Linked DNA regions of Canis lupus familiaris. The protein of the gene in region 1 interacts with the protein of each later gene in a pairwise test. Links are inferred from orthologs where the notes say so. Each region holds a gene or a part of one and is shown on either strand. Other genes may lie near its edges. The genes, in order: TOP3B and SPRED2.

Evidence for each region.
Region 2: the proteins of TOP3B (region 1) and SPRED2 interact in binary tests that used the Homo sapiens proteins (3 or more experiments, as listed by UniProt). The link is inferred for Canis lupus familiaris from reciprocal best matches to the Homo sapiens genes TOP3B and SPRED2.

What each region holds. Positions count from the first base shown.
Region 1 is NC_049247.1:31,388,831-31,393,105, forward strand, and holds the start of TOP3B (DNA topoisomerase 3-beta-1), read right to left. Parts: upstream 3,007-4,275; 5' UTR 2,911-3,006; intron 2,746-2,910; exon of another isoform or gene 2,111-2,745; intron 1-2,110. UniProt on the Homo sapiens protein: Releases the supercoiling and torsional tension of DNA introduced during the DNA replication and transcription by transiently cleaving and rejoining one strand of the DNA duplex.
Region 2 is NC_049231.1:66,165,296-66,169,538, reverse strand, and holds the start of SPRED2 (sprouty-related, EVH1 domain-containing protein 2), read left to right. Parts: upstream 1-1,191; 5' UTR 1,192-1,334; coding exon 1,335-1,360; intron 1,361-4,243. UniProt on the Homo sapiens protein: Negatively regulates Ras signaling pathways and downstream activation of MAP kinases. Recruits and translocates NF1 to the cell membrane, thereby enabling NF1-dependent hydrolysis of active GTP-bound Ras to inactive GDP-bound Ras.

The DNA.
Region 1 (4,275 bases):
GGTCTCTCTCATAAATAAATAAAATCTTAAAAAAAAAAAAAAGATTCTCTCCCTCTGCTTTGATGTGTGCGTGTTTTCTCTATCAAAAAAAATTTACCTGTGAAGTGAATAATAAAAACTTACAGATGCCTAAATTTTTTAAGATTTTATTTATTTATTCATGAGATACACAGAGAGAGAGGCAGAGACACAGGCAGAGGGAGAAGCAGGCTCCATGCAGAAGCCCGATGTGGGACTCGATCCCGGGTCTCCGGATCACACCCCGGACTGACGGTGGTGCTAAACCGCTGAGCCACTCGGGCTGCCCTAGATACCTAAATTTTAAAAACAGACTTTACATCTATAGGACTACTGCAAACACTTCTCAACGTCCTTTTTTCCTATGGTGTTAAAATTTCTAGAAGTTTTATATTTCTACTACTCTTCTTTGTACCTAAGGATCCTAAACACTTTCAGGAAATAACAGATTCTTCTCTACAGATCCCTTTAGAGAAACATTTTGTCCTAGCATCTTCAAAGGGAGTACCTCATTTATCCAGGGCTAGGGATAAACCTCGACAGCGCCCACGAAGGCACACCGGCATCCATACCCGTTTCAGATCACCTGTCCACCTCAGACTAGTTGCTGTTCCACACTGTTACATGTAGGTCTTTAGCAGCTCTGGCTCTAGTTCAACAGTTTATAGTTCAGTTCTGCATAAGGACTTTGTAATGATCTGAGTATCACTGATTTACTGGGAAAAATGTATGACTTTCTTTAAGGATTTGGAATCCTGGGAAAGGGACCCTGGTGATGATCTGGTACAGACGTCTCAAGGAAGAACAAATTAAGACTCAGAGAAAGAGATTCTCCAAAGGTTACCTGGAAAGTTTGTTGAGTTGGAGCTGAAACTCCTGCTTCTCTATGAGATACTTTTTTGTTTTTTTAACTGCACCAGGGTCTACCTGTTAAAAGAATTCTGCAGTCTTAACTGATTAATTTTCGGTGGTTATCTTGGGGCCTATTTTTCTATTAAGGCACACTCCAACTTCAAAAGGGAAATCAGGGACGTCTGGGTGGCTCAGTGGTTGAGCATCTGCCTTTGGCTCAGGTCGTGATCCAGGGTCTTGGGATTGAGTCCTACGTTGGGCTCCCCATGGGGAGCCTGCTTCTCCCTCTGGCTCTGTGTTTCTCATGAGTAAATAAGTAAAATCTTTTTTTTTTTTTTTTTAAAGGGGAAATCAATGAGAATAAAAGCTGAAAGCAGTGGTTTGCAAACTTCTATAAACCATCATTATACCATATGCCATCTTAAAACCCTTTTGCTGTACTGTTATTACTTAAGGGTTTGCATTTTTTAAAAAAGATTTTATTTATTTATTCATGGGAGACACAGAGAGAGGCAGAGACATAGGCAGTGGGAGAAGCAGGCTCCTCACAGGGATCCCGACGTGGGGCTCAATCCCTAAACTGAGCCAAAGGCAGACGCCCAATCTCTGAGCCACCCAGGCGTCCCAGGTTTTTGCTTTTTAAAAAAATCTTGGGATCCCTGGGTGGCGCAGCGGTTTGGCGCCTGCCTTTGGCCCAGGGCGTGATCCTGGAGACCCGGGATCGAATCCCACGTCGGGCTCCCTGGTGCATGGAGCCTGCTTCTCCCTCTGCCTGTGTCTCTGCCTCTCTCTCTCTCTCTCTTCTGTGACTATCATAAATAAATAAAAAAATTTAAAAAAAAATCTTTAAAAAAAAAAAAAAATCTTAAGGCAGCCCCGGTGGCTCAGCGGTTTAGCTCTGCCTTCAGCCCAGGGCGGGACCCCGGAGCTCCGGGATCGAGTCCCACGTGGGCTCCCCGCATGGAGCCTGCTTCTCCCTCTGCCTGTGTCTCTGCCTCTCTCTCTCTTTCATGAATAAATAAATAAAATCTTAAATGTCTGTTATTTTTAAAGGGAAATGTGATCGCCTTCTTTTCCATAACCTATGTGGTTCATCAAATTTGATCTCGTCGCCTGCTAAAGCTGCATCTGAGGTTGGTTCTCTCATTTCAAAAGGGAGAATCAGCCAGTGCTGAGGGCGTGTTGACAGCAAACAACACACACTGGAACTGTGAAGGGAGAGCGTCAGGTGGGCACTTACTGCCGTCGGCGGACTCTCCTCTCGGCAGCAGGATCAGCAACGGTGGGTGCCCTCGGGGGTCGCGGTACACAAAGTCCTCCCCTGTCAGTCTTACGAACAACGGAACTCGGCTTGGGGGTGGAGGCCCAGCGGTGGCGCAGACAGCACCGAGAGCAGGATCTCCACCTTGGCCACTTAACCCGGTGCCGCGGGGTCCGGAGAGCAAGCCCCTCCTCTGCACGCAAGCCCCGCTCCGCACGCCGCCGCTCTCTCCAACCTGGCCCGTCACGCCTCGAGGCTGGCCTGGGCAGTTTTCTGACTGCGAGCGGACCGAGGCTCAGAACAATGCGGCCGAGGCCCAGGCGACCTTTGCCGCGGCTCTAGGGGCACCTCGGGGCTCCGTGGCCATCAAGCCCACTCTGGGCGGACCTTCCCACGTCCTCTCCCGAAGGCTGAGTGGCAAAGAGGCAGGATAAGGCCAGTCCTCCCTTTCACCTGCGAGAACTGAATCCGGCGAGTCTGTCCACCAACAACTCGGAGAAACACACCCGGGAGCCCTCAAGGCCGGGCCGGGCCCGGGGCGGCAGGCGGCCCCCCGCACCTCCGTCTCCCCACCTGTGGCCGCAGCCCGCACCTCAGAGCCCCGCGGGAGGGTCGATGGAGGTCGCCCCTCACCACCTCCCGGCACCCCCACCGCCAGCCCCGGGGTGCGGGCGCCCCCGCCGGGAAGCAGGGCGCGGGAAAGCGAGGCGCCGCCTCCTCTCCCACGCCCCGGGGCTGGGGGCCCACCTCCCCGGCGCTTCCCGCCGCCCGCCGCTCACCCGCAGCCCCGCCGCGGCCCCCGCCGGGGCTCCCGCCGCAGCTTCCGCTCGGGGGGCGGACTCGGCAGCCTCCACTTCCGGTCCGGCCGCGGCGGGCGTCCCCGCGGCTGGCGTCCCCTCGCCTGTCCTCCGGGGCGCGCACGTCCGCGTCCGCGGGTTCCGTGGCTCGCGGGTACCGGCCCTGCCTCCTGACCCCTCCCCGCGGCCTCCCCAAACCCCCCACCTTTACTCTTCTTCGCCACCGGGAAAGCAAGAAAGGCAGCTGTTACAATGGTCGTAAAAACGGAATGATAAATATGAAAATATATATGCTGTTCATAATTAAAATAATCAAATTCGCAGATGAGCGTATAGCCGACTCTTTTTAATGCTGTGAACGAATGTGGAATGAACGAATGAATGAATATAAAATCTATCTGAAAAAAATCCATCTGGAAGATGAATTGGGCAATAAAAACAACTTTTTTTGTGTGTTAAAGCATTAGGATTATGGAAGGCTTAAAAAACTTTTCATGGCCTTATTTCAATATCTTTTATGGTGTCCCTAAATATGTTTTAAGTAATAGCAGACACACATTTCCCCTGCTCCCTGTAGGCTCTTTCTCCAATCTGCCTTTTTTGAGTAGGAGCCCTGAAAGATGCTCTGGACAAAGAAACATCTTATGGTCAAATTAAGGTCGAGAAATGCCAAGAATTAAAAGTCATAATGAGACTCATTTTCAAAACGGAACTGATTCCAAACCCACTCCTTGGCAAGGTCTCCGTCTCCAAAATGGCAGCTTCATCTTCCTGGTTGCTTAAGCCCAGTGTCTGACAGCGTCCTGGATTCCTCTCTTTTTCTCGCTTATTACTCATCTGAAAATCCTGCCATCCCTGTCTTCAAAATATATCTGAGATGCAATCAATCCTCCCTGCTTCCACGGCCACCATCCTGACCCAAGCCCATCTCCCTCCTGGTCTCCTAGTCTCCACTCTGCGCCCTATGGTCTGTTTCCCACACTATTCTAGCGGTCAGGTCTAAGACTGGATTTAAAGGGTGAGACCAGTTGGCAGAGAGGCAGCACCAGAGCCCCTTTATTCTTTAATTCCATTTGGGGATCATTCTGCCCACCAGGAGGTAAGATCTGAGGCCTGGACCCAGCAGGGGGCACGGCGTGCTCAGTTCTGGGGGATCTCAAGAGCGTTCTTGCCAAAGCCCAGTCAATGCTGACTCAGCTGGCCTCAAGGTCAGATCCCTGAGAGACAAGGTCACTGTATCCTCCACAGGAAGGGGCAGCAACATTGCAGGATGTGTTATCTTAAGCCACATCAGCAACTGCCAGGTCCCCGAAGTCCTCATCTACAAGAACAACAACCAGTCCTTAG
Region 2 (4,243 bases), on another chromosome or scaffold:
GGGAGAAGCAGGCTCCATGCACCGGGAGCCCGACGTGGGATTCGATCCCGGGTCTCCAGGATCGCGCCCTGGGCCAAAGGCAGGCGCCAAACCGCTGCGCCACCCAGGGATCCCTATTAAGTAATTTTTAAAATGTATTTGGGCTCACCTTTTAACCCAAGGAAGCCCATCATTTCTACTGAAATGCATTTGCATTTCTGAGCTGTGTTGGAGTTACCTTTTTTTTTTTTAAGTACAAATATCGATTCCTCGTAAATGTCCACTCCTCTAGCAAGACAAAAAAAAAAAAAAAATCACAAGATTCATGAGAAACTGAAAAGCCTCTGCCATTCGGAACCTTGGCAAAAACACCTGTGCCGCCTCCCCCCGCCTCCCGCCGCAGCGCGGGGGAGCTGGTCCTCCAAGCCCGAGCACCCCTGGGGCCTCCCCTGAACTCCGCGCCTCCGCCCCCGCCCCCCACCATCGTTAATCCAGGGGTTCGGATGGAGGGAGGGAACCAAACTGGAGCCAGATGTGCGCGAGCCCTCGGCTCCCTCCCGCCTCCTCCCTCCTCCCGGGCTTCTCAAAACCCGGAGCGTCGTCCGGCAGGGATCCGGAGCCAGGCAGACGCCGCACAAACAGCTCCGCTCCGCGGCTCCTCCGGGAGCGCCAGCCGGGAGGGAGGGGGCAAGGAAGCCGGGCATGCTCAGTAGGCGGGTCAAAGTTTTTTTTTTTTTTTTTTTTTTTTTTCCTCTCTCTTCTCCCTTTTTTTTTTTTTTTTTTCGGTCGCAAGTAGGAAGCTTTTTTGCACTCCACCACCTCTGGCCGCTGGGAAGACGTCATCGCTTCCGCCCTACTTCCTCCTCCTGTTGGCGGCGGTGAGAATCCAATATGGAGTAAATCGGCGGAGTCGGGAGATGGGGCTCGGACGGGGCGCCCTGCACCGCCTCCCAGGCGCACCTCCCCCGGCCGCCGGCCGCTCCCCGGAACCGTGATTGGCCCGGGCCCCGGGGGCGACCCCGGGCCGAGCCCCCGCCCGCGGCCGGCCCTCCCCCGGCCCCCGCAGCCCCCGCCGTGCACGGCGCGCTTGTTTTTCTGTCTCCCCCGCCGCCGTCCGCTGCCCGGGGCGCTCCCGCTCCGCCCGGGCCGAGCCCCCGAGCCCCTCCGGCCGGGCCCCGGGCGCCGCGGCGCGCGCCCCCTCCGCGCCCCCTCGCGCCCCCGCGCGCCCCCTCGCGCCGCCCCCTCCCCAGCCCCACCGGGCGGTCTCCGGAGATGTGAAGCCGGGGCTGAGCGCGCAGGAAGATGAAGGGAGCCGGGCTGCCCGCCGCGGGACAGGCGTCGAGGTGAACAGGAAAATGACCGAAGAAACACACCCGGACGAGTAAGTTCGGCTGCGGGGCGGGAGCGTGCCCGCGGGCGCAGCGTGGGGTGGACCTTGGCGTGGGCTGCGCGCCTGCCCCCTGCCCGCCGAGCGGGGAGGGGCGGCGCGGCCAAGGGCGCGCGGGTGACCTCGGGGCGCCCCCCCCAGATCTCCCGCGGCCGGGGCGGAAGGACCGGGCACCCCCGCTGCGGCTCCCCGGGGCCGGTGGGTTTTCCCGTGGGGGCTCCGCGGCTGCCGCCCCGCCGCTCGCCCCCCATCCCCGTCCCTCCCCATCCCCGTCCCGCCATCCGCATCCCCATCCCCGGTCCCGCAGGCAGCCCACCGGGGGCCCGGGCTCCGCCATTTCGTTTTTCTTGAATCGCTCTCATTTGCATACCACATTTTCATTCATAAAAAAAAAAAAAAAAAAACAACGCGGCGGAGCGGAGGGAGGACGGGGCGCGGGCCGCGCGGGGGGCCTGCGGGAGCCGGGGATCCCCGGGCGGGGCGCGGCGCGGCGGGGGAGCGGCCGGAGGGGTCCCGCGGCGCGTGTGAGCTCGTGTGCACGCGCCCTGGGGCTCGGGACGGGCGCCCCGCGGGGTGGGGGGGCGGACCCGAGGCGGGGGCTGCGGGGGCGGGCGGGGCGGCGTGCGCGCGTGCACGGGGTGCAGGGGGTGCAGGGGTGCGTGCCCGGCCCGCGGGCCCCAGGGAGCGGTGCTCGGGGCGCTCGGCTGGGGGGCCCCCGGGTGGCCCGCCGCCCCCCGCGGGCTCGCTCGCCCAGCCCCGGGCCGAGGTGAGGCTCCTGCAGCCTCGCGGTCGCGGAGTCGGAGCTGCCGTCCTCCCACCCGCGCCCGGGGCGCCCCGGTGCAGGGGGAGCCGAGGCCGGGCTCCTGGGCCCGGCGCCTGAGGTCGTCGGCCGCGGGTCCGAGCGGTCAGCGCTCGGCGGCCGTCCCCGCTGCTCAGTGGCTGTGCCCGCCACCAGCCACTTTTTTTTTTTTTTTTTTTTTTGTGAATAAGACGCTCTCCTTTATTGTCACATGATATCCCTCCCCTCCTCCCCTGCACATTCATAAATCCGGAGCCTGCCTCGGCTCCTTTCATTCAGAGCTGCCCTTAGCGAAGGTAGCAGTGGCGCGGGCTGGGGCGCAGAGCCGTGGGCGGCGCGGGGGCGCGGGGCCGTGGGGGCTGCGGGGGCCTCTGCTCCTGCGAGCCTGGACCGTGCCGAGGGGGGAAGTGACTCAGGGCTGGGTGACCCGGAGGGCTTCTCTTGCAGCAGGTGACCGAATGCTGTGCTCTACTCTTAAGAATCTACTTTTTTTTTTTTTTTTTTCTTTCTTTTTTAAATGCCCCTTTATCCTTTGGCGTCTGCTGTTGCCAGGCTGGGCGGGAGAGGGTGGGTGTTTGGGCAAAGGGACTTGCCTTCCCTTGTCCCCCCCCTCCAACCCCCCCCCCCCGCCCCCCCGGGGATGTTGGACTGCAGTTACCCCTGGTCTGCTAAGACACCTGCCGCTGGGGACCAGCCTGCCTGGAGCGCATGTCGCTGCGATGCCACCACCGCTGTTGATCTTTTTTAAAACGTTTTTTTGCCTTTGCCTTCATACACTGCATTTTGAAACTGTAAAATGGGGGGGGGGAAAAGTTGCTTTTGGGAGGAAGAGATATGCTGCTGGGCCTTGTTCCCTTCCGACTGGACGAATAGGCCAGTGTTTCTCTGGGTCTTCCTTTGTCCCTGCACACGCAAATAGCAGTAGTAGCAGGGAGGGACGGTGGCCTTGCTCTGGACGTTGGGATTCGTGTTGGAGATTGGTTCCACTAGCCCTGCGCTGGGGTCCTTGGCTTTATTCCCTTGGGAGTACTGGTCCGGCCTCTCCCTTTTCACTGCAGCATGGCAGCTTTGCGTCCTACCCCATCTGACAGCCAAAGCAAAAGGATTTGGGGTGGGATCATGAGCAAGAAATGACTACCTCTATTTCATGCTTTCAGAGCACTTGAGCTTGGAACTGGCTGCCCCACTGCTGTCAGAAGCCCAGTTGAGACAGTGGGTTTTGAGGACAGGTTCTGGTTTCAGTTAATCAGAAAGCTGTAGCGCCTTAGCCTACTGCAGAAATGGCCTTCCTGGGATTACTTTTAATGTAATGACCTTGGCATGAGACGTGAAATGTAAGCCGGTAAGAACACGGGCTGCATGGGCTGTTAACTGCCGTTTGTGGACACTGTCCATTGTATTGTTCAAGTTCTTATGTAATGACCCATCTGAAAAATGCCTTTTAAACATTAGTGCCTGGAAGAAGGTTTCTCTCTGGATTGCAGAGCTTGCTGTGATTGCCTTTTTGTTGTCGTTGGGTTTCTTTTTTTTTTCCTTTCCCCCCTTTTTTTTTTGCAACCATTGTCTGGAAGCTCAGAGCTAAAATTATTACTGGATTACAGTGGTCATAGTTAGCCTAGGTTTTTGCTAGGTTTATTTATTTCTCCTCTAGTATGAATTTTTATCTTTTATTTTCTCTTATAATGGCTTTATGTTTGGGGTCCTGCAGATAACCTTTTGGAAGTAGACCAGGTGTGTTTCATATAAAGAGATTTGGTGACCTCAAATTGGAGACCTTTGGGAGTTACAGTTATGTCTTAGGTATAATAGATTTTTTTTTTGAGAGTCCATATATATTTAAGTTTTTTGCTAAATGGTACAGAAATGTAATAAATACATTTAGCATCAGAGTACAAGAAGTCAGAATCTTGCAACTGGCAAAATTGTGCCGAATTTTAAAAACTAATAAATATTTTATCTTAATGCTCTTTTCCATGTCGATTTAAAACTTTTCTAATAAACATATGCTAGCTCAGGAAAGCTTATCTCCTCTTTCTGCCAACTGTCCTAAAATGTAGCTTCTATATAGAGAAGACTCT